4 linked regions of the Arabidopsis thaliana genome follow. The protein of the gene in region 1 interacts with the protein of each later gene in a pairwise test. Each region holds a gene or a part of one and is shown in the gene's direction. Other genes may lie near its edges.

What was found.
Region 2: the proteins of ARC3 (region 1) and PARC6 interact in binary tests that used the Arabidopsis thaliana proteins (3 or more experiments, as listed by UniProt).
Region 3: the proteins of ARC3 (region 1) and FTSZ2-1 interact in a two-hybrid assay, tested with the Arabidopsis thaliana proteins (one study listed by BioGRID).
Region 4: the proteins of ARC3 (region 1) and MINE1 interact in binary tests that used the Arabidopsis thaliana proteins (3 or more experiments, as listed by UniProt).

What each region holds. Positions count from the first base shown.
Region 1 is NC_003070.9:28,164,294-28,172,068, reverse strand, and holds ARC3 (GTP binding protein), read left to right. Parts: upstream 1-1,955; 5' UTR 1,956-2,127; coding exon 2,128-2,444; intron 2,445-2,669; coding exon 2,670-2,728; intron 2,729-2,889; coding exon 2,890-2,954; intron 2,955-3,206; coding exon 3,207-3,341; intron 3,342-3,747; coding exon 3,748-3,796; intron 3,797-3,907; coding exon 3,908-4,020; intron 4,021-4,099; coding exon 4,100-4,171; intron 4,172-4,315; coding exon 4,316-4,426; intron 4,427-4,771; coding exon 4,772-4,950; intron 4,951-5,171; coding exon 5,172-5,488; intron 5,489-5,640; coding exon 5,641-5,975; intron 5,976-6,174; coding exon 6,175-6,279; intron 6,280-6,394; coding exon 6,395-6,532; intron 6,533-6,751; coding exon 6,752-6,918; intron 6,919-7,011; coding exon 7,012-7,075; 3' UTR 7,076-7,241; downstream 7,242-7,775. Other genes in the region: LPAT4 (lysophosphatidyl acyltransferase 4), read right to left, coding at 1-290; AT1G75000 (GNS1/SUR4 membrane protein family), read right to left, coding at 7,483-7,775. UniProt on the Arabidopsis thaliana protein: Together with MIND1 and MCD1, regulates FtsZ ring positioning in chloroplasts in an ARC6-dependent manner. Z-ring accessory protein involved in the initiation of plastid division and division site placement (might functionally replace bacterial MinC).
Region 2 is NC_003074.8:6,630,768-6,637,796, forward strand, and holds PARC6 (plastid division protein), read left to right. Parts: upstream 1-1,869; 5' UTR 1,870-2,042; coding exon 2,043-2,345; intron 2,346-2,644; coding exon 2,645-2,758; intron 2,759-2,835; coding exon 2,836-2,973; intron 2,974-3,048; coding exon 3,049-3,153; intron 3,154-3,244; coding exon 3,245-3,367; intron 3,368-3,577; coding exon 3,578-3,946; intron 3,947-4,048; coding exon 4,049-4,144; intron 4,145-4,288; coding exon 4,289-4,405; intron 4,406-4,813; coding exon 4,814-4,879; intron 4,880-4,964; coding exon 4,965-5,717; coding exon of another isoform or gene 5,718-5,780; exon of another isoform or gene 5,781-5,824; coding exon 5,825-6,015; intron 6,016-6,101; coding exon 6,102-6,186; 3' UTR 6,187-6,525; downstream 6,526-7,029. Other genes in the region: PREP1 (presequence protease 1), read right to left, coding at 1-6, 381-555, 822-1,107; AT3G19184 (AP2/B3-like transcriptional factor family protein), read left to right, coding at 6,788-6,934, 7,014-7,029. UniProt on the Arabidopsis thaliana protein: Component of the plastid division machinery required for PDV1 localization to constriction sites. Involved in chloroplast division site placement. Required for the proper formation of FtsZ rings at the division site in nongreen plastids (e.g. etioplasts).
Region 3 is NC_003071.7:15,196,850-15,202,355, reverse strand, and holds FTSZ2-1 (Tubulin/FtsZ family protein), read left to right. Parts: upstream 1-1,752; 5' UTR 1,753-1,887; exon of another isoform or gene 1,888-2,339; 5' UTR 2,340-2,423; coding exon 2,424-3,056; intron 3,057-3,221; coding exon 3,222-3,521; intron 3,522-3,606; coding exon 3,607-3,697; intron 3,698-3,998; coding exon 3,999-4,123; intron 4,124-4,325; coding exon 4,326-4,418; intron 4,419-4,500; coding exon 4,501-4,695; 3' UTR 4,696-4,987; downstream 4,988-5,506. Other genes in the region: AT2G36255 (Defensin-like (DEFL) family protein), read left to right, coding at 628-688, 776-954; AT2G36240 (pentatricopeptide (PPR) repeat-containing protein), read right to left, coding at 5,200-5,506. UniProt on the Arabidopsis thaliana protein: Exhibits GTPase activity which converts GTP ligands to GDP.
Region 4 is NC_003070.9:26,082,999-26,087,012, forward strand, and holds MINE1 (homologue of bacterial MinE 1), read left to right. Parts: upstream 1-1,563; 5' UTR 1,564-1,722; coding exon 1,723-1,824; intron 1,825-2,698; coding exon 2,699-3,286; 3' UTR 3,287-3,514; downstream 3,515-4,014. Other genes in the region: RRG (sporulation protein (DUF155)), read right to left, coding at 1-13, 144-433. UniProt on the Arabidopsis thaliana protein: Acts as a topological specificity factor during plastid division and specify plastid constriction sites (such as the Z-ring) in a MCD1-dependent manner. Especially involved in epidermal plastids division in a FTSZ1-dependent manner.

The sequences.
Region 1 (7,775 bases):
TTCTCAACCGGAATGATGTCTCCAGAGAACACCACAGTTGTCCCGTTAACCGTTTCAAACAGGTAAGGCCACAAAGCTAACCAGAGACCAAAGATTAACGAAACAACTTTTCTAGATTGTTGCACACTCAGAAGCCGTAGACCTAGAGCAGCTATTGGTGCAAAGTACAGCAGAAACATAAAAGCAGTAGACAGAAACACCAGCAGGATCATCAAGCCCCTCAGAATCCTAAGCGGAGTCAAGGGGCGGTTCTTTAAGTTATCAGATTTCAGATCCCCGCAAACTTCCATCTTTTTTCCAGATAAACCTCAAGACAAAACTGCAGCAATGAGATTCAAATATTACTCAGTGCCACCTTTAAGTTCCCCACAAAGATTGAGTTTTTTTCTTTTTTTGGTAAATACAAAGACTCAGTTGCAGAAAAGATACTATAAAAAACCAATGCAAGAACCTAAATATATGCAATTTGAGTATCAATACCAAACAATTAATCTAACAGTAGACATAGAGATTAGAGATTCCTAATCAACACAGCCATGAATGAAGAATATATAAAAAGCCATTTTTTCTTACATAAGTGGGAAAAAGGTTGCAAATTTGAATCTCAGGAACATGAATTAAGCTCTAAAAGCAACAATGAACAGAGAATTCCTTATCTATGAGCTCAGTGGAAGATTCAACAAGCGAATAATGAGAAAAGATTCGTCATTTAGTTAGTATCTAAAGCTGCATAATTTCGAATCTATAATCATCAATATTCCAAAACAAAAACACAGAAATCACGGAGACAAAACATCCTCAAATTGGGAAAGACTTGTGAATACCGCAACTAAAAAATCAGATCCCACGTGATATAAGATCAAAGAAGAGACAGAGCAAGAGAAACACTTCTCTCACGTATCTTCGAAAAAAGCAAAAACAATCTAAAGCACGAGGAACTCGACGAAGTACCTGGAGAAGTATGAAGAAACGGAAGAAGTTGGCGAAGACAAAAGAGGATAATTGTTAAATGGTGGAAGAACAGAGGAATGCGAATCTCAAACGAAGTTTCAGAGAAGGATACGTTTCGGGTCGGATCTAATTAAGACAGTGGGGATGATCAGAGACGGTAGGGTGCACCGTACTATAGCGATCTGATTCGCTGAGTGCGAAAAGGTCAAAAGTTGCAGGGAAGACAAAATCCACAAAGGTGACACTTGCGACCCGATAAAATTCTCCTGGCGTCGTTACACTTTTTGTGAAACTCAAACGTGAAGCAAACTCTAATTAATACTTTTCCCCACTTATTATTATTGGTTGTACCAAACAAGAATAAAATCTAGCTTTTAATGATTTATATTTTTTAATTTAATACATTGAGCTTGATATTTTTTCATAAATTTTGGATCTGAAGTATTAATATACGAGTTTCATGGGGACCAGATGTTTTTATTAATTATTTCGATGTCATTTATTTTTATTTTTACAATAGTATAAGTTTTTTTTTGGAATTTTTGACCAAATTCCCTTATTTTTACAATGGTATAAGTATATTTTCTTCTAAGATAAAGTTATATCCAAAAAAATATAACAATTCATGTATAAAATGCTGAAGAAAAAATCGTGTCTAGTTGATTTTTTCTAAGTAAAATTTTTCCTTGAAATTGTTTTCTCTAGTTGTTGTTAAGAAAGAACTGTTTGTTTAGTGAATATATTGGACTCATTATTGTAGAAGACTAAGATAAGTTCTTTCTTTATTATAATGAAACAATTTGATTATAAAATATATCATTGACCAAGAAAGTAAACTATTAAAAGTGATAGTAGACCAAATATGAGGATGTGATTGATCGGTTCAAAAGTTAATCTCCGCCACCGATTCGTCAACTTACAGTAGGGGTACATAAGCAATAAAAACAAATATGAGGTCAAAACTAAAATAAGTAGTAATATAAGGGTTAATGAATAAATAATCAGTTCACGGTGCCGGCGAACTTGATATTTTTCTCACTCTTCCCTCTTCTGCTTCAGAATTATCGGGAGAACTTCAGACATGCTATGCTCCGACCGAATCTCATCATCTATCAATTTCATGTGACTTATTAAATTGTTCTGTATTCTAAGAAGTGGTTCCGTAGAAGCGGAGCAATGCCGATTTCTATGGAACTTCCAGTTTTCTCTACTCTCCGAGTACCATTGTTCTCTCGTTTAGCTTTACTTCCTACTTTTGGAGTTCCGTTTTCGTCCCTTGGTGCTACGACGCGATTGAACTGTACATCTCGAAAGGCGCGTCGGATTTGCGTGATGTGCTTAGTGAGGGATTCTGCTCCGATAGAGACGTGCGAGAGAGCTGGAGAAGATGGGTCTGACGAGTTCATTGAGGTTCTTGTCATCGGTAGTCGCAAGGAGTCTATCATGGATTCATGCTTGGATTCTCCTTTTCCTTCTCTTCCTCTGCGATTTTGGTATATGCTCGACTTTTGTTCGGCCCATGATTCTGTTTTATCTACTAGCCACTTTGTTGTAGTCTAATTTTCGAAATCTGATAGTTTATTGTTACTGACTTTCCTAGCACACTCCTAAATTGTGTAGCTTTCTTCTAGTGACGAAGCTTATGGCTTGAATTGATTACGTACGCTCTGTGTATTCGTGAAAGGGATCAAATTTAATTGCCAAATCTACTTTTTCAGGAGTATTAGCAAGGACAGCTCTGGAGGTTTAGTGTTACAGCAGAGGCTCAATCACCAAGGTCCATAATCTATTCTTTTCCTGTTTCTTCTTGCCGTTTGAGTTTTGAATTTGATTAAAAACAGATTCTTGAACAACTAGCATATATTTAGCTAGTTGTTCAAGAAGATTAGAGGGATATGCTATCTTTCTTACTTATCGCTTCTCTCTTTCTGTTTACAGATAATGCCTTGAAGACCATGAATCCAATTGAGCTGTTACAGTCACGTCCAAGGGCCTTCATCCTTGTTTGTACTTTTCTCGCCTAACATTGTTTGTGTTCTGTTTTCTGCTACAAAAACGTTTTTGAATTTCGCAGTTCCATAGGTAGCAAAAGATACACAGTGTCTAATTGATCAGTGATTATTAACAACCATGGTTCCGAAATTCGCTTAGGCTCTTAATGAAATGCTAATGGTTTTCAATTTTTCTCGAATTTTATTTTCGTGGAATAGTATTGGCCGAGCATCTGATTCTGCTTAAACTGTTACCCTTGCCAGGTGGCTAGTGCTGGATATGGTTCTGACCAGGTTGAAGCTATTAATATTCTTAGTGCAGTAAGATCTGGGGGTAACTTAGCTGTTGCTGTGCTATTAAAGCCTTTCAGCTTTGAAGGCCGAAAGCGTCTAGAAGAGGTAGTTTTTTGTTGCTTCTAAAGTTGTAGTTGATTGCTATGTACCAAAAGAGCCAATTTGGACTTTCATTTTATCATCCCAGAGTCTTGATAATAAGATTAAAGCAGTTAGTTACGTGTTTGGACTTTTTTATTGGTGCTGTAAGTAGAACTTGTATACCTGAATTGATAGAGAAGAAAACTAGGTGGAGAACCTTCGAGTGGCTTCATGTTTTTCCAACAACACACCTTCCCAAATCTCTGTCATCTCCATTTCTTGTCAACATTTTTTAATATATACAGTATTCCATATAACAAACTGAAAACAGCCCAGTAAATGACGTCCCTATCTACAGACAAGTTCAACTTCATTTAGTATTGCTAGTTAGAGCCTTTTCTCTTTTTCTAATTTCCCAGGTTGTGTGCAGGTTAACGAGTTGGCTAGAAAACTGCAGCAACACACCAATTTCTGTATAGGTACGTCTATTAACATTGTGAAATATTTCCTGACACAATAGCGTCAGAAAAATTACCTTTTCTTCTAGTAGTTCTGCTGGCCATGAACTGACTTTAATTTGGGCGTTGTAGATATCGACATAGAGGTTTTACTACAGAAGGATTTGGTAACTTTGGACGAGGCGCTGAGAAATGCAAACAATGCTGTGTCTATGGCAATAAATGCAGCTTCCGCTCTGATAAGTGTAAGGTTACTTTTCTGCTCTAGCTGTCTCTCATATTATACTCAATTTTTTTTGTCATTTCATACATGGGTTTATCTAGGGGATGCATGGAAACTTCATCGATGTGATGCATAAAGATCTTAAAGAACTTGAAGGTTCAGAAGTTAAAACGGTAAGTTTCTTGGAATTGTTTCTTTTGGGTTTTAGTAGTAAAAATCTTCATAGTCTTACCTATTCTTGAGATTTCATTTGTCTGTATGGTATAGTCACCCTTAGTTTCAGCTTGTCTTCAATCCTTCAACTCTCTTATGTACAGATTCTAGAAAGTTACAAAGAGGCAAAGGTTGGTTTTGGAGTTGGTCACAACCTTAAGACTTCGATATTACGAGCTATATATGACTGCCCATTCTTTCGACCTGGTCTAAAGGTATTTCTAATCTGTTAAAGAGCTTTCGACAGAAGATTCATCTGCCTACTTAAGTTCTTCGTTTGATTTTTTCCTCATTCGTCTGATAATAAAGTGAATATAAAAACATTAATTCGAGGATTTGATAATTGGAAAAAATAAATCTAAACATAGTGACTTATAAAAAACCGGTAAAACAGATGGTATCACTCTCCCAAAGGAGCAAGGGTATTTGAAATTTTTGTTTGTGTGTATTTTGGCATTTTTCTCGAATGATATGCTCCTTGAAATAATTCTTACGAAATTATGTTATTCAAAGTAACCTTTTTCTTCTCAAGTCTCAACCATGCTTTTACCAACATGCAGGATCTAAACGCTATTATATGCATTGTGGCTAGTTCGGTACCTCTCCAGAAGAAAGACGTGAAAACAATTCTTCGTACTTTCCGTCAAACTATGGAGTACACTGGAGATATTATAGTATCTACTGTTCATGAGCCTGATCTGGAGCCTAAAGTGCGTGTCACAACGTTTTTTATTCTAAGGTGTGTCTTCATGTTTAGTGACAGCTAACAATTTCAAGCTCATGCATATGGTATCATATTTAGCTGAAAATCAACAAAGAAAAGTAAATATATGGTTTCAGCATTTATACCATATATTTTTATGTGTTTGATTAAGATCTATGATGCTTTTGACCAAGACTCAGATTCTATTTCTCGTGACCACTTTTAAGCATTAATGCTAGTCTCAAATGTCATCACAGTTCTTCAGAAGTGGAAACATCCAACAAAGGCAACATTTTTTCTGGTCTTGTTCCTTTTGTTTTAAATATCTTCACGAGATATCGTTCACAGCTCCAAAAAGAAACAAATATTGGACTTGGAGAGACGCCAGTTTCAATTAAAGATTCAGCAGACTCTACTGACGTAAAAACTTCCAATCAGAATATTGAGGAATTTGAAATTGACTCTGAGGACCTCCTGGAAGTTTCTGAGAACGGTGATGATAGTGAATACCCATTAAAAGAGGGGGAACCATCCAGAAACAGTCGTCTGGATCTTAAAGATGAAAATGTAGAAGGTACAAAATTGAAGACAACTTTCTGTTGCTGCTTATTTTTGTATGTTGTATTGGTCGAGATGCTTTATTACTTGTTATTTATAGGGTGCTGAAGTAGTGACGCCCTAAACTACTTTAAAAGTGATTAAGTGAATGAAAGTCATCTTTTGTAGATTTTGGTGCTATCCAGAGGGAGCCTATTGCCAATTGGAGTATGGATCAGGGATATCAGATTGAGCAGAAATGGCAAGCTGATTCTGGAGACACTGCAGTGCTTAGCCTGGGAATTGTCAACCTTCCTGTTGGTGTGAGACCTTCGAAGAAATTGAACAGTAATCTCAGTGTTGCCAGTCAACTCTCTAGGAAGGCTGATTCCAGAGAAGAATCATTTTTCAACCCTAATGGCTCGACAAAAGACTCTAGTGATACTGCATCTACCCTGCTATCTGAGAAATATGCTGATTTTACAAAGCAAAGAAATCTATCCGCTCGAGCATCGTCTATGCTGGTAAGTAGCAATGTACCAGCTTATGAGGTTGAGATATCAATCATCTTCTTACTAGTGGGCTGCTTTTTCAAACAATAATGCATATAGAGGCAAAGTTTTCTCCTTGGTTCAGTCTGCAACCATGATGAAGAGTCTTTCTGTAAAAACATCGTCCAAGTCGATGCCAACTGAGAGAAAATTTTCCATTTTTAATTCTTAGGAAGCTGAACGAGATTCATCAAAAAGATGGAGTCCTATTCTTGAGATGCAGTACAGAGGAGGACTTTTCAAGGGAAGATGCCAAGGAGGCCTTCCCGAAGGAAAGGTAATCTGTCTTGTTAGTTTTATTCATTGAAACCAATTCATCCATGGATCCTCTTCTTATGTTTGAGACAGACTTCTTAGTTAATCCGAAAGTAACAGCTGACTATTCCCACCAGGGTCGTTTGGTACTTGGAGATGGAAGCATATATGATGGAATGTGGCACAACGGTAAAAGATCTGGTCTCGGAACATTCTACTTCAAGAATGGAGACGTGTTCCAAGGCACATGGAGAGAAGATTTAATACACGGAAAGGTGAAATAGTCTTTTGACCTTTTCGAATTTTGATTAGCTTATTGAGACTACACTTTTGCACCAACTGCTTAGTTTCACCACCAAGTCCCTAAGACTTTGTCAAGCTGGTGCCATTTAAAATGCGTTTCCTACTTCCCCAATATATCGAATAGGTTTGATAAAGGACTGTACAAATATATCTCTTATTAGAAAAACAAAACTTGTTCATTTGTCTTGCAGGGTTGGTTTTATTTCCACAAAGGTGATCGATGGTTTGCAAATTTCTGGAAAGGAAAAGCCAGTGGCGAAGGCCGGTTCTATTCAAAGTCCGGTGAGATATTCTTTGGACATTTCAAAGATGGTTGGCGCCACGGACAATTCCTCTGTATAGATTTGGATGGAACAAGGTCAGTGACTCTTAAAAAAAACTTTTCCCTATCTTAATCAGAAAAGGAGCAACCCCAAGTTTATTCAAAATTGTTGACGGCTATTTCCTACAGATACTCTGAAACTTGGGACGACGGTGTTCTCATTGACCGGAAACAAGTGGACGCCGGAGATTGATATCATCCGGCAATGCTGTAACTATATAGTGCATATCGATTTTGTCTTTTCTCAGGTTATTATTATGACAAAACGTGATTCATAAAAAGTATTCCTGTGACTTAAAAACTCCTTTTCTTTGATTAGATGTTTAAAAGAAACGAATTCAATACCGAAAGCTACCTGACTTTTTCTTTCCTTGCAACCTGAGAAAAGTGACGAATCTTCAAAAGATCAAAATAAGCTATTATAATGCAAAATTATATAATATATTTTGTGTCGGAGAGCAAGACTACAATGATTCCTATTCCTAATTATCATACAACAACAACATCAACAGAATAAATCTGATCTCCAGTTTTCATATTTTAGCTGAAGTCTGATTTTTTTTTTCCGGATGATTTCAATAATACAAAAATGATTAAGGTTTATGTGGTGTTGTGATTAGCCTTGGTCATCATTGAACGCGTCTTGCAATAAAACTTCAAGTAGAGCAACGTGATAACGGCGTTAAGAACAGAGTTAAACAACCAAGCACCGATACCGTTACAACCGCCGCGTTTGACCAGGTGTATACAGAGTACGCCTACGTGGCAAACCGTCATACACCCTAACAGAATGGCTTGACAGTTTCCGACAAACGGAAAACACGCGCCACGCAACCCAATCTCCGTCCAGAACCTGTAACCGTACACAACGGCGTACGAAACGGTCGTTAATA
Region 2 (7,029 bases), on another chromosome or scaffold:
TCCTTCCTGCATTAACAACGAAACTATGATCTAAAATTGCTTCCATTATTAGTTTTTGCAAGTCTTTCACAAGGAGGTGCCTGTGGGACCAATATCTACTGAAAGTGCAGTTGCTCATATCGACTTTTAACAAAGCGTTAAGTAATTTGACAAGTTGTAACCTCCAAAACTTAGACCACTTTACAAGTACCAATATATTAGAAGAAGAAACGAAATGACTAGGTCTAATCAGAAAAAAAAAGCTTTGATGAGTAGAGATAAACTTGACCATTTCAATTAGTTAAATTCAAGGAGTGAAGCTTTAGGTACCAATTTCAATTGCCTAATACATACTCAGGTCAAATTTACAGAGAGTAAAAATTATTATGAAGTAAACTTACGGAGGAGTTCTGAAAACAACACCGAAGACCTTGTTCTCATCCTCATTTGACACAGACATCACCTCGCAACCAGTTTTCTTGTGTTTGAAGAGTATCGCCTTTGATTTACACTCTGAGATGAATTCTTCCGACACTTTTTCAAATCCAAGCTTCTCAGCCTCATCTTGACCTACATCTGAATCCAAACAACCAAAAATAAGGAAAATCACGCATCAGCAGAGGTTACACATGGCTCCATTTGATTACAAAGTAGACACAAAGCATGAGATGAAAAATGCACCACACGGACCACACCTATCTACAATTCACAACCTATCCTAAAGTAAGAACCACAATTTCACAAGTGCCACAAATCAACATGTCCGAATTAAGAGAACAAATCAATTAGCAATTAAACTTCAAACAGATTGAAAAAAAGAAGTATATGTGAAAAATTCCAACCAGGATAAAGTGGAGCGGGTTGTGTGGCGACGGCGCGAACAGAGAGGCGAGAGAACTGCCCATTGACACTGCGAACTGCGGCGGAGGGAATCCTCAAACCTCGTCGGAGCAAAAGACGTCTACCGGCGACTGAGGGAGAGGAAATTCGGCGAAGATTGCGACTGGGGACACGGAGAGCTGCCGTCGACGATGTGAGAGACATGTAAGAGCGAGGGAACTGACGAAAGAAGCGAAAGAATAGAGAGGACGAGCTGCGCGAAGCTAAACAAGAGACGGTTCGGAGCATAGCTACCGGAAAAAAAATATTCCCGGCGGAGACTGCTACTGACGGAGACGAAATTAAGGATATTGCAAAGAAGCTAAATAAACCCAACGGCAAGAGGTTTTATCCTTGTGTAGTTGTGTGTTTTTGCTTGTAGAGGAAAAAAGTAAAATAAAATAAAATGAAATACCTCATTTCTTGTACAACACACAAAATTATTGTGAAAAATATTCTCTATTTTACTAAATTGGCATTTTATTTTTCTGAATTTTTAAGTCGGGACAAAAAAGAGGTGCTGATTTGCAAGAAAGGAAACGTGGTTCTCATATAGCCAAATGTGTTTGAGTGTTGCAATTTGCTATCCTCCAAAAATATAATGACTACAAAATATCTTAAATCTTTTTTCATGATATTAAACTTAAGTGAAAGTATTACAAAATCTGATCAAGTTAAAAGTTTACACCAGACATATACTTTCCAGGTATTTGATTCAGAAAAAATCATATTGATCAGATTTAAACAAATTTTAAATTATATATAAGTTTTTTCTTACACACAAATTAAACCTTTGATCAGTACTAGACTACTGGTAGCATGCGATGAGCTTGCAGTAGTTTCTCTCGCACATTAGTTATGGGCCGAGAGCTAGGCCCATGTCCAGGGACGGATAAAATAATCTTCCAGATGTTTCTTTATTATCCACGTGGCGTGATCACGTGACCACGTCTCGTCTCGTCTAGTCCTAGATTAGCAGAGCCTCTCTTTCGGCCAGCGGGTTACCTTATTATCGTCACAAGACGAAACTTTCAGAAAAAGGCAAAAATCACTGTCAAAACTCAAAAGCCTTGAGACCAAATTTCCGATTTTTTCTCCTCTGAAGAAATCCAACAAATTGTACCATGATTCCAGCTTCACTCTACTTCTTCTAGGGTTCGTTCGTTTTCTGGAGCTGTTGCGCAATGCCAGTAGCTTACACATTTCCAGTTCTCCCTTCTTCTTGTCTGCTTTGCGGAATCTCCAATCGCAGCACCAGCTTCGTCGTAGATCGCCCGGAGCTTCAGATCTCAGGTCTCCTCGTCGTTCGTTCTGAATCCGGTGAATTCTTCGGTTCTGGTTTATCTTTGCGGCGGTTTCAGCGAGAAGGACGGAGGAGGTTGAATGCTGCTGGTGGTGGTATCCATGTCGTCGACAATGCGCCGTCTCGTACTTCTTCTCTCGCTGCATCTACCTCTACAATCGAACTCCCGGTTACGTGTTACCAGGTATTTTGCTCCGACTGACTTACTTTTCGGAATCTCTGTAGATACTACTATCTCTCGCGATTTGCTACTTAGCTCCTCGTTGAAGTGCAAGTGGAACTTGTTTTTATCCTTCTAAATTTTGTTGAAATAGAAACATTTTCCTCCAATTTGTAGTCTCTAGCGCGTAGAACGAGATGGATGTATTGATTTGGCAATTTAATATTGTATCATAGTTCATTTCTGCAATAGAGTGTAAAGAATGTAGCGTTTCGTTTGTTAGACATTATTCCAGGATACTGTTAATTGTATTGATTTTGCAGCTTATCGGAGTTTCTGAGCAAGCTGAGAAAGACGAGGTCGTTAAGTCGGTTATAAATTTGAAAAAAACTGATGCTGAAGAGGGTTATACAATGGAAGCTGCTGCAGCTCGCCAGGTTAAGACCTATAGTATCACTAGAGTTGGACAGGGAATGTGGCTTCAGTTTCTTGATACTTTGTTCTTAATGTGTAGGATCTTCTCATGGATGTTAGGGATAAACTTCTTTTTGAATCAGAATATGCTGGTAACCTAAAAGAAAAGATTGCTCCTAAATCTCCTCTCAGAATTCCGTGGGCATGGTTGCCTGGTGCTCTATGCCTTCTTCAAGAGGTACTACTTCTGACCTTTTATTGCGTTTTATCCCTGCAAATGTTTTGTACTGATCTTTCTGCTACTATGCTTCAGGTTGGACAAGAAAAACTTGTGCTGGATATTGGCCGGGCTGCTCTCAGGAACCTTGATTCAAAGCCATATATTCATGATATATTCTTATCTATGGCACTTGCTGAGGTAAAATCAAATGAACTAAGAATGGGAACTAGTTATCTACTTTCACTATCCTCTGCTTCTTCTATCTCTAATATGTTTGTTTTCCATTTAGTGTGCAATTGCCAAGGCTGCTTTCGAGGTTAACAAGGTCTCTCAAGGATTTGAAGCTCTTGCTCGTGCTCAAAGTTTTCTGAAGAGTAAAGTTACTCTTGGGAAACTTGCATTGTTAACTCAGGTAACAGGTTCTACTGTCTTGCATTAGTATATATAAAGCTTCTCTGAGTTTACTTTTAGCCCTGTTACTGGCTTGAATTATTAAAAGTGCATGATCATGCCTTACTGTAAATCGCATCATGTTTAGGAGCTTCACATATAAGTACGTATTGTCCAAAAGCATAATTTACCAGCATATTGGGTTTTAAGGGGTTAAAATTGATATTTATAGATTGAGGAGTCACTAGAGGAGCTTGCACCACCTTGCACATTGGATCTACTGGGCCTGCCACGCACGCCAGAAAATGCAGAGAGGAGGCGAGGTGCAATTGCCGCGCTACGCGAACTGCTCAGACAGGGCCTTAGTGTTGAAGCTTCATGTCAAATTCAAGACTGGCCATGCTTTTTGAGCCAGGCAATTAGCAGGTTATTGGCCACAGAGATTGTCGATCTTCTTCCATGGGATGATTTAGCCATTACACGGAAAAATAAAAAATCACTGGAATCCCACAATCAAAGAGTTGTTATTGATTTTAATTGTTTCTACATGGTGTTACTTGGTCACATCGCTGTTGGATTTTCAGGCAAGCAAAATGAAACGGTATATCTCGTTTTCTTTCCTTTTGTTAAATTTAGACTGATTGGTCCATTTCTTCTCTACTCTATCTGCTTATAAAGCATAACATTCAGTATGCTTGTGTAGATTAATAAAGCAAAAACGATATGCGAATGTCTCATAGCATCAGAAGGTGTTGATCTGAAATTTGAGGAAGCTTTTTGCTCATTTCTTCTAAAACAGGTATTTTTCCTCTTGCTTTCTTTATTCTTTTTCCCTATCAACTATGCTTGTGCATCTTATTTACTTCAAGTTCACTTGCTTCGAAAGATCCTTGCGTTGTTCATTTAGTTAAGTGCTACTGGACCTACATGTTGGATAGCACAGGGTTCCGAGGCAGAGGCCCTGGAAAAACTTAAGCAGCTGGAATCAAATTCAGACTCTGCCGTTCGTAATTCGATCTTGGGGAAAGAGTCGAGAAGTACTTCTGCTACTCCCTCACTGGTAAACCTTATGATTTTTACCAAGAATATGTGTTCATTTGTTGCTACGACTAGAGCGAGGGCTATGCCTGATGTAAATGGCATGATCAACTCTAGTGGAGTATGAATAAGTTTGAGCTATGTTTCAGGCTGTAATTGAAACAATGGAAATAGATACATTTAGTGGATGGTAGTTAAATTCATAGAATATGCTTTAACAGCATTGTGTATGCCTGCCGTTAACATTTTCTTTTTCGATTGGTTGTACATACACATAAATCTTAATATTTGTTTGAGTAAGCCCTTGGGTTCATGCACTAAATTTAATTTGGAAATTTTGCAAGTATGTACATCTCTTCGCTAGCTCTGATTTTTTTTCATAGAAAGATTGATAGCGACCTTCATACATGCTACCTATAAAATTGACCAGGAAGCGTGGCTAATGGAGTCCGTGCTTGCTAACTTTCCAGACACAAGGGGTTGTTCTCCATCTTTGGTAAGAATCAGATCACTACTGGAAGATTCTGTATAGCAGTTCTATTTTTATGCAGAAAGATAATCATATATACAACTTTCTGCAGGCCAATTTTTTCCGGGCTGAAAAGAAATATCCAGAAAACAAGAAAATGGGGTCACCTTCGATCATGAATCATAAGACGAACCAAAGACCACTTTCCACAACACAGTTCGTGAACTCGTCACAACATCTTTATACAGCTGTCGAGCAGTTGACACCAACAGATTTGCAGAGCCCAGTGGTATCAGCCAAGAATAATGATGAAACCAGTGCCAGTATGCCATCTGTTCAACTGAAGAGGAACCTTGGTGTACACAAAAATAAAATATGGGATGAGTGGCTCTCTCAAAGCAGTTTGATCGGAAGGGTATCTGTTGTTGCTTTACTGGGTTGCACCGTGTTCTTCTCTCTGAAGCTATCAGGCATTAGGTCTGGTAGACTACAGAGTATGCCTATATCGGTTTCTGCTAGGCCGCATTCAGAATCAGATTCTTTTCTGTGGAAAACAGAGTCTGGGAATTTCAGAAAAAACCTTGATTCTGTGAATAGAAATGGTATCGTGGGAAACATCAAAGTGCTCATTGACATGTTAAAGATGCATTGTGGCGAACATCCGGATGCCCTGTATCTGAAAAGCTCTGGTCAATCAGCTACATCATTGTCTCATTCTGCGTCAGAACTGCATAAGAGACCAATGGATACAGAAGAAGCGGAAGAGCTTGTGAGACAGTGGGAAAATGTTAAGGCTGAAGCTCTTGGACCAACACATCAAGTTTATAGCCTTTCCGAAGTCCTTGATGAATCCATGCTTGTCCAGGTTACTGTTTCTATACATCTCCTATTATTCCTTTACTTAATTATGTTAGTTTACTACAGTTGAACATCAATGTTTAGGTAGAGTCAATATTTCTTTGTTTAATGCAGTGGCAAACATTGGCACAAACAGCAGAGGCGAAATCCTGTTATTGGAGGTTCGTTCTGCTTCATCTTGAGGTTTTGCAAGCACATATATTCGAAGATGGTATTGCTGGTGAGGCTGCAGAAATCGAAGCTCTTCTGGAGGAAGCAGCAGAATTAGTTGATGAATCTCAGCCCAAAAACGCAAAATATTATAGGTAAAAAAAAACATTTCGCTTTCGGGTTACTTTTGGACTGAGCTGGTATCTTCTTCACTGATGCAGCCTTTGTAAATTTCTTGTAGCACTTACAAGATCCGATATATTCTGAAGAAGCAAGAAGATGGATTGTGGAAATTCTGCCAAAGCGATATTCAAATACAGAAGTGAAAATCCCCCAGAAAAAAAAGCTCATCATCTAACTAAAGGTTGTAGCATCAACAGTAGAACATGGGATCATTTAGCTAACGGTTGTTCTTGTTTACCTAACGGTGTAGGAAAGTCTCAGGTTTGTTTCTTTATTCCTTAGTAACCCACAGGATTTGTCTTTGTAGATTCTTTTGATTTCAATGTGTTTATGGATAAACAAACTTCTTGAGTATTTTTTTTATTATTATTGTAAAGCGTTACTGATCAAATCAAATGTTTTCTTAAAATAGTTAAAAATATTAAGGGATCTCAAAATAATTGTTAATTATGGAGGGAAAAAAAAGAAACGTCTTTTAAGAAGCCCATACCTGCTTCACGTATCACGATGGAGGCTTACTCAGACCTTCCACTGTTGAGAATTTGAAATTTCAATTTGTTTGATTAGACACAATGATTAAGATTTTTATTACATAAAAAGAAAAAAAAAATTGGAGAAGTATAAACACATACATAGCGGTGAAAGAAGAAACCCAACGGTCACTCAAAAGCGCATTGAAGAGTCAAGCAAGACTTGGATCTGTCTCTTTCGTTTCTCTATCTCTGTTTCGGATTCCTAAGAGAAATGGTGGAATCGGAGCTAAGCTATGAACAGATTCGTTTGAATAGGGTGGAAGAGAACAAGAAGAGAATGGGGGAGCTTAATCTCAACAAGCTTGCTCAATCTCTTCGTGTCTCTTCTTCTTCTTCTTCTTCTTCCAAGCCCTCACCAGTAACGTTTCCTTTCTCTTCTCTTCTCATTTCTTCTTTTCTTTTTCTGAAATTAACCAATTTTTTTTATGGAAATGTAGGCAAAGCCAAGAACGA
Region 3 (5,506 bases), on another chromosome or scaffold:
TGGCGGAAAAGCTAATCGCAAAACATGAGATTATAATTATGCGACATGTCAAATTGTTATGAAAACATTTTATATAATAAGAAATTTATTTGGTATAGTATCATATGAAACAAAGAGTCAATACAATATCAATGTCATTATATGTGCTCATTATGTTAAGTTGAGTCAAGGCACTTTACTAAGAACACTTCAATAATTATATTTAACTATTTCTGTGTATTCATACGTATGATACAAGGTTTGGTGTTCTATATACTTTATCCTCATCCCTTGAATTTTAGTTGGGCCAAAATAATGACATTAAAATTATAATATGTTGCTATATAAAAAATTGTTACAATTTGGATGCAACATAGAGAGATCATTAGCGAGACATTGGGTGGATCGTGCAATTCATTTCTGTTTTGTCAACTAGCAATTCAAATTATGGCGACATTATATACATTAATCCATATTACACAAAAACTAATAAACTATATATGTCTTGGATTCAAATAGAAGAAATAAAAGTCAACGAGTTTGCCCTATAAATGATTCTATGCTTTCAAATAGTTAGCTACAAGCTCATCAATCTCTGCTCTATTAAAAAAAGAAGAAGAAGCAAACACAAAACAACAACAAAGAAATATGGCAAAGCTCATAGTTAACTTCTCTGCTCTCTTGATGATCATCTTGTTGGTTTCTAATGGTAATTTTAAGATTTTCTTAACTTCCTTTGTCCTATATTAATATCGATATGGATGTGAAAAGATTAATGTGAGAATGGTTAAAACAGGACTCCCAAAGGCGGTAGCCCAAACATGCTTTAAAGGTGAAGCTCAAGAGGGTGTGTGTGTTAAAGTTGACGGCTCAAAATTGTGTGACCTTCTTTGCAGGGCAACCAACACAACTTGGTTTGGGGCATGTGAAGTGGAAGACAACGAGACGCACTGTCACTGCTACGGACCTTGTTAAGTATCTCATCCGGACGCAAAACCAAATATGAAACGTGAATAATTGTGTATCAGTACCTAAATAATGTGTGCATTGCTTATGATCAATGTCACATATCTACATGTGTGTTCCATGTTTGTGTGTTTTTATTTTATCGCTTTCAATAAATTTGCATCAGCACCGTAAATGTAGCTGATGCGATAAATGAATGTAAGATTAAATCTGTTTATTATGTTTGCTTTTGGTGTTCCATTATCTCTCCTATATATATGTCCTCTTCTTTTTCTTCATTCTTGTCATTAATCTATATGTATGTGCTATTTTTTGTTGAACAAAGGCTAATGAGTCTTATCTATAACACCAAATCAACTCCTAATAGTAATAGAACTCTTAACCTAAACTCAAAAGAAGTAAAGTACAAGGAAAACTCTAATCAAAAGTTCAAAACCATATTCCTAAACCATGAAACATAAAGGAATATCACAACCTCGAAACTCTTTTGCCGTAACGACTAGAGTTGCTTTTTGTTTTTAGTTAATTCAAATGATGACATTATTGTTCCAACTATGTAATGTAGCCACCACATTTTTCTTGTAATTTTTTTTGTTTCCTTCATAAAATTCATTTAGCAAATTTACACAAAAAATTCAATGAAAGTACATGAAATGAAATTTAAAGTACAATCATTTCCCATAGTTTTTTTTCTTACCAACACCAACATAACAGTGATAAATTGGAACAAAATTTTACCAAAATAAAAATAAAAATTTTATGAACAAAAGCATTTTTTATATATTTTTTAATTATTGGGGGTTTAATGAATTTGAGATATTTACTAGTCAGAAAACACCAAAACCCTCCGTTTCGTGGGTTTCCTCCAGACCTTGAGCTCCTTGTTCAATTCACACTTTTTCTCTCCCAACTCTTCTTCCAGGTTTCCTCTGCTACTCTCAGGTTTCTCTTCTCCACTTCCCTCCAGCTTTATCCTTTTGATTTCGTCCTCCATCTTACTGTATTTACCCAAAAATCTAAGCTTTTCTCAGTGTTCTTCCATTTCTCTACTTTGTTTTCATGTAATGCTGCAAACTTCGCAATACCCATCTTCAATTTCTTCAATTCGTAATGGGAAAAAGCATTTTAGTTTAATTTGGGTTTTGTGGTTCCTCACTTGTTTCATTCTTCTAAGTCTTAAACCATCCACTGATTCTCAATTTCTGAGGATTTGATATCTATTGCTGGTTAACAATGGAGCATAGATGCGACTGGGTTTTGTTTATGTTAACTTTATGAATGTAAATCACACTGCTTTGTGGCTACTTTGTGGATTTCGTGTTTTACTTTGTGGCTGAATCATATAACTCTAAATTGAGAGCTTTGGGTTTGACCATTTAGCTTTTTATGAACAGGTCTTGTTAGGGAAGTAATCAGTGGAATTGGATTTAGTCTTTTGGTTCTGAATTTTGTAAAGTCCTGCAGTGATTGGTCTCATTATGGCAACTTACGTTTCACCGTGTTTTACTCCTTCGGATTCTCGGTTACTAACTGTTCTTAGAAAGAATGTTTTACCGGAGAATCATTTAGGCAGGTTGAACTCCATTAGAACGATTGACAGTAAGAAAAACCGAGTTGTTGTTGCCGCTCAGAAATCTGAATCTTCTCCAATCAGAAACTCTCCACGGCATTACCAAAGCCAAGCTCAAGATCCTTTCTTGAACCTTCACCCGGAAATATCTATGCTTAGAGGTGAAGGGACTAGTACAATAGTCAATCCAAGAAAGGAAACGTCTTCTGGACCTGTTGTCGAGGATTTTGAAGAGCCATCTGCTCCGAGTAACTACAATGAGGCGAGGATTAAGGTTATTGGTGTGGGAGGTGGTGGATCAAATGCTGTGAATCGTATGATAGAGAGTGAAATGTCAGGTGTGGAGTTCTGGATTGTCAACACTGATATCCAGGCTATGAGAATGTCTCCTGTTTTGCCTGATAATAGGTTACAAATTGGTAAGGAGTTGACTAGGGGTTTAGGTGCTGGAGGAAATCCAGAAATCGGTATGAATGCTGCTAGAGAGAGCAAAGAAGTTATTGAAGAAGCTCTTTATGGCTCAGATATGGTCTTTGTCACAGTATGTCCTCAAATCTTTATTATTACTATTGCATTTGTTCTTCTTAGTTATAAACTTTGATTGTAGAAAAAGAGGTATGTGTCATTTGTCAATCACTTATCAGCTAGTTCTGGTCTCCATCTGTCCAAAAGAGTGAGGTTTATATGTCTCTTCATCATTTTATAGGCTGGAATGGGCGGTGGAACTGGCACTGGTGCAGCCCCTGTAATTGCAGGAATTGCCAAGGCGATGGGTATATTGACAGTTGGTATTGCCACTACGCCTTTCTCGTTTGAGGGTCGAAGAAGAACTGTTCAGGCTCAAGAAGGGCTTGCATCTCTCAGAGACAATGTTGACACTCTCATCGTCATTCCAAATGACAAGTTGCTTACAGCTGTCTCTCAGTCTACTCCGGTAACAGAAGCATTTAATCTAGCTGATGATATACTCCGTCAGGGGGTTCGTGGGATATCTGATATCATTACGGTATAGCTTTTCTTATGGGCATCCTGTGATCATTTTTTTGTGTATGGCAAATGATTTACCAGCTACGTTTGTCCTTGATTTGTAGATTCCTGGTTTGGTGAATGTGGATTTTGCTGATGTGAGAGCTATAATGGCAAATGCGGGGTCTTCATTGATGGGAATAGGAACTGCGACAGGTAAGTTTGGAATGATGGATAAGCTCATTTAGCTGCATAGTTTCATAAGCAGAACCATTAGTCACTAGATATGTGTCGAAATAGTCTAATTGAACTAATGAGCTAGTAGATTGGTGTGGCAAAGAAACCAGTCTAGTGACTGGGATACTGAAAATGACCATATTATATTCACTGTTACTCAACTATTGTGCATCTATGTCATGATGTAATAATCAAAGTCATGAACCTTGAACTTCTTTTGCGCAAGGTTTTGTTTTGTTTGCAACGTGCTGATTCTTTCATGCTACTTGTAATCATTCAGGAAAGAGTCGGGCAAGAGATGCTGCGCTAAATGCAATCCAATCTCCTTTGTTAGATATTGGGATTGAGAGAGCCACTGGAATTGTTTGGAACATTACTGGCGGAAGTGACTTGACATTGTTTGAGGTTTTTGTCTCTCTCTCTCATCTTTGTTTCTTATCTCTATGTCGATAGATCCATAAACAATAACTGGATCTTGAGAGACGCATTGACAGGGTGTTAAAATCATTTATTTTCTTCCTTCCATAGACAACTTAGAGCAAAGCCTGATTTTGCTTCATACCCCTAAGATGCTCTATAGTTTTTCATACACTTTGGTCTTGTGTAGGTAAATGCTGCTGCAGAAGTAATATATGATCTTGTCGATCCAACTGCCAATCTTATATTCGGTGCTGTTGTAGATCCAGCCCTCAGCGGTCAAGTATGTCCTTTATAATGTTTCTTCTACTAAACATAGATAAGACCTCTAGAGATGATAGAATTGATGTTTTTTTTGGTAAAAGGTAAGCATAACCCTGATAGCTACGGGTTTCAAACGACAAGAAGAGGGAGAAGGACGAACAGTTCAGATGGTACAAGCAGATGCTGCGTCAGTTGGAGCTACAAGAAGACCCTCTTCTTCCTTTAGAGAAAGCGGTTCAGTGGAGATCCCAGAGTTCTTGAAGAAGAAAGGCAGCTCTCGTTATCCCCGAGTCTAAAGCCCAATCTAATCACTACCCTGCACACTGCAGCAATAACAAACGTGTGTGTACTGGTAGTCTGGTACTGCCTTCTGGGATACAGCAAGATGTGTTGATGTATGATCAAGAATCTGTGTGGGTGTGTATATGTTCTGTCACTGCCTCTGGTCGTGTTCTTGAATAGGTTGTTTTAGAAATCGGAGTTTCTCTCTATGTCACTTCCAAAACAAAAAAGGAGAAGAAGAATCACACTTCTCGAACCATAAACATACTTATAAGATTATGAGAGTTTTAGCAGAAATTATTGTCATTTTTCATTCAGTTAATAAAAAAATCAATAGCGATATACCAGCAAACAACTGTGACTTTCGAATAAAAAAAGTTCATCTCCGACGCATGATTCTGTGGCAATGTGCAGCAACCAAACAAAGAACCAACTTGGTTTCCATTTCATATGTTCAAAATAAAATTTGTTGATACATAGATATAGCTTGGGTCTAGTTTACACAGATCAAACACAGGTTACAACATCCGGACTTGTTTCCTTGAGAATTTTCCAGTGCAGGACAAGCCATCCATCAATCTATTATATGTAAAGATATCAGGCAACATATCTTTATCCAACATCTCGTTCACTAGAACTTCTCCTTCCTTTCTTCTCCCTTCTTTCGTGAACCCCGAAACCAAAACATGGTACGTTGTCTCATCGGGTTCATATCCTTTGCTTGATGCCAAAAGTCTCAATCTGTTTGCATCAGTAGAATGATCAGAACTGCAGAGATCCCGAAGAAGCAAGTTAAATGTCACACTATCGGGAAGAATTCCTGCA
Region 4 (4,014 bases), 2.1 Mb from region 1:
CTTCAAATCAATACTGCCAAAACCATAGTTCTGAGAAACCAAATTATAAATGAAAAACACATAACAGACTTCAACTTTCAAACTGTAAAGATTCCAAATTCAAAACTTTCACTAGTGAGTCCCAATACCAAAGATGTACATACCTAGTACTGAGAAAATAGGCTTTGATAGGGATTTTGCCTAGTGCTTCCTCTGCCTCTGTTCCAAATTCATAGTTTTGATATGCATCATTCGACCCAGAATCAGAGTCATTGTTGTAAATCGAAATCGGAGAAGGGAACGCTGAAAAGTGTCGGAAATTGAGAAAGCGAGAAGCTAAACCAATCGTTGGGTGTTTCGAAACACATGGAGAAGAAGAAAGGTTTAGTCTTTTTGAAGAATTGAGTAATTGATTACGAAGAAGAAGAGCAGCTACTGCTCTCCATTTACCCATTCAATGAAATCAAAATTGAAATTTTTTGTCCTCTGCACCAGAATCTCTCGACTTATTATATTAGTCAATTTGTATTTTGGAGAGATTGTCTTTTGATATCGAAAGATATTTGGTTACGAAGAAGCCTTGGTTCTCGCCGCCGGTGACCACAGTCCCCTAATCAAATGATCGTTTTACTTGTTTCAAAACGACTGTGTTTTTTGTTTAATTAACTAAAACGACAGCGGTTCGTTTAATAAACTTGTTTCAAAAAGTTTAAAACCCTCTTGTAGCATTTTCATATTAAGCCAAAACAAAAACCTAAAACCCTATCTTGGAAAAATGTTAAGTTAGAAAAGCCCTAATCTTGTAGCCTTGGTTTTTGAAGTTTAGAAGAATGACGAATGTCTAGTCCTTACCAAGTGTTATGGGATTGGAAAATTCTCTAGGGTTTCAATTTTTTTCCGAGATCAATGCGATTTATTTGTAAAAGTTGGAACAAGTTTATCAAAAAGATCATAATTATTGATAAAACACCAATAACCCCGCATATAGTCAATTTTGCAGATTTCTTATAAATTAAACTTTAAAAAATAATTTTATAATCCATCAAATTTAAATACTATTTTTTTAGAAGGTCCAATATATAGTCAAACTCTACTATATAGGGTAACGCGACTTAGTGGAATCGAACCTCGATAGAAAGACGAAATCAAATGAACTTAACCACTTGACTAAAAGCACATCTCTCAAATCTAAAAACTACTTATTCGTGGTTTATCTATAAAACTTGAAATATTTTTGTCAAAAGATCATATTTTTAATAAAACAGCAAGAATGCAAATAGTCATCTTTACGGATATTTTGTTAGATTGAAGTTTAAAGAACAAATATTACAATCCATCAAATCTGAAAACTACTTATTAGTTATTTGTGGTTGCCTACAGCTTTACCAATAATGTGATTTTTTATAAAGCTTACATTTTGCTTATAGAAAACCTTTGAATGAGTTATAGAAAACCTTTGAATGAGTTGGTACTATTGTCGTCATTCTTCTAATTTCTAAACTTCAAACACCAAAAGTTGCAAAGTAGTTTTTTTTTGTTGTTTTGGTTTAATATTAAAATAGATGATACGACATCGGTTAGGCAGTTGTTAAAACGCTGTGTTTCAAGCCTTTAAACGACAGCGTTTCTTAAAGTGCTCGATAGCCTTTTACTTTGTAAGAAGAGTCGTCGTAATCTCATTTCTCTTTTAACTGAGACGAAAAAGATTCACTTCTCCGGCGAGCAATTTCAAGTTTCTCGGTAATGGCGATGTCTTCTGGAACTCTCAGGATCTCTGCGACCTTAGTATCTCCTTATCATCATCACCACCGTAATCGCCTCTCATTACCTTCTTCTTCTTCCAAGGTCCGATTTTCTTATAATTCTTACTCTACGATTCAAATTTTCTCTTCGCTGCAATTTGGGATCTGGAGCTCGTGAAATTCGCCACCAAATTAGGAGAACTTAGATTACTAGCTTCGATCTTTCGTTTCTATGTCTGTGTGGTTTAGGAAGAATCTGAAATGCGTCTTTTATTGGAACAATTTCACAATTTCTCTCTAGCTCTAGATTTGCTTGTTCATCGCGAGCTCCTGAAAGTTTATCATTCCAGTTTCTGTGTTTTTACTTAGGCACTTGGAAATGAAGGATTTTAGTAACAAAACTTAAGTATATTTGTTTTTAGGAAAGCCAACGAATCCATCTCCATGACCATCCTCCTTTTTTGTAGTTTTGATATTTTCTTTATCTTGTAGCTCATATTAAGTCTTTATAGTATGGAAGTGGTGTCTTTGATTACTGAGAGCGAGACTGGACCGGTCTTCTGTTAGATATGTGCGGATGTTTGTGGTGCTATGACCTGATGTGTTGCAATTTTGTTACAAAACCATTTCATTAAGTTTAAGATGAGCTTTGATGTTACAGTTGCTTCTTTACCTATAGATGATCAAAGAGAGTGAATATGTTCTTAAGCTTGTAGCTCATATTAAGTCTTTTTAACAATGGTGGTGGTGCCTTGGATTACGTAGACTAGACCGGTCTTCTGTTAGATATATGCAGATGTTTGTGGTGTTTATGACCTGATGTTTTGCTACTTTGTTAGAAAACATATACGTTTAGGTCAGCTTTGATGTTATAGTTGCTTTACCTATAGATGTACGATAACAATTACTGAGTTCTCAAAATGCAACTAGTCTGAAATTACAGTCCCTTTTTGCGGGTGATGGATGTAAATTTGCAGGTTGATTTCACGGGATTCATAAGCAATGGCGTAAACAGTTTGGAAACTCAGAAATGTACTCCTGGACTGGCGATCAGCCGCGAAAACACACGAGGTCAGGTGAAGGTTCTTGCAAGGAACACCGGAGACTATGAACTATCACCAAGCCCAGCAGAGCAAGAGATAGAGAGCTTTCTCTATAATGCCATCAACATGGGTTTCTTTGACAGGTTAAACTTGGCTTGGAAGATAATATTCCCATCTCACGCATCAAGAAGAAGCTCCAACGCAAGAATTGCAAAGCAGCGGCTCAAGATGATCCTCTTCTCCGACAGGTGTGATGTTAGTGACGAAGCTAAAAGGAAAATCGTCAACAACATTATCCATGCACTGTCGGATTTCGTAGAGATAGAATCAGAGGAAAAAGTTCAGCTAAATGTTTCCACGGACGGTGACCTTGGGACCATTTACTCGGTCACGGTGCCTGTTAGAAGGGTGAAACCAGAGTACCAAGACGTGGACGAGGCTGGAACCATAACCAACGTGGAATACAAAGATACCCGTGATGGTTCTGTCGATGTCAGGTTCGATTTTTATGTTCCAGAGTGATGAAAAGGCACAGTCTTAGATTTATTTGCTGGATAGTATCTTGTCTGTTATGTTGATGTTCTTCAAGTTTAGTCTGGAGGGAACAAAGACAGTTTCTTGACACTCCCCATGTATATATATATATGCAACTTCTCTTTTCTTATAAGTTTTTTTACTGTGTTTGACACGAGCTGGTCGGCTCAACCTATTTTAGTTTCACATTCTGTGAAGTTAATCATATTCAATTGCAATACTTTAACCACAAACTATATAAGTTAAACTCAATCAAAATATGGTGCAATGGTTCCCATCACAAAAATAGAAATGGACTATTGAATCTCTTACCTGTTCGACTAAAATAAATATTTTCAAACAAGAACTGTTATAGAACAAGATTTTTTACCTACAGATACAGAACGCAACCGATCCGAAATGGACATGCCTAAAATTAAATTATAACTTTAACTAAATCCCAAAACACAAACCGAAAACGAACCAAAAATCCGGATTTATCATCTACGACTACAAACATTCAAAGTAGTATGTACAATAGATATTGGGCCATAAGCCCATTAACCCGTTTGTGAATTTTGAAAGAGCTCAGGTATTGGGGAAAGCTCTAGTCTACAAATTTGAAATTCGGAATTCGAAATTGGGGAAAGTCTTCTTCATCTGTCTAGAGAGTGGCGTTTGATTTGAGATAACGTTCTTCTCCAAAATTGCTTGAGGAAGTGGTTTTGTTGTGTCTC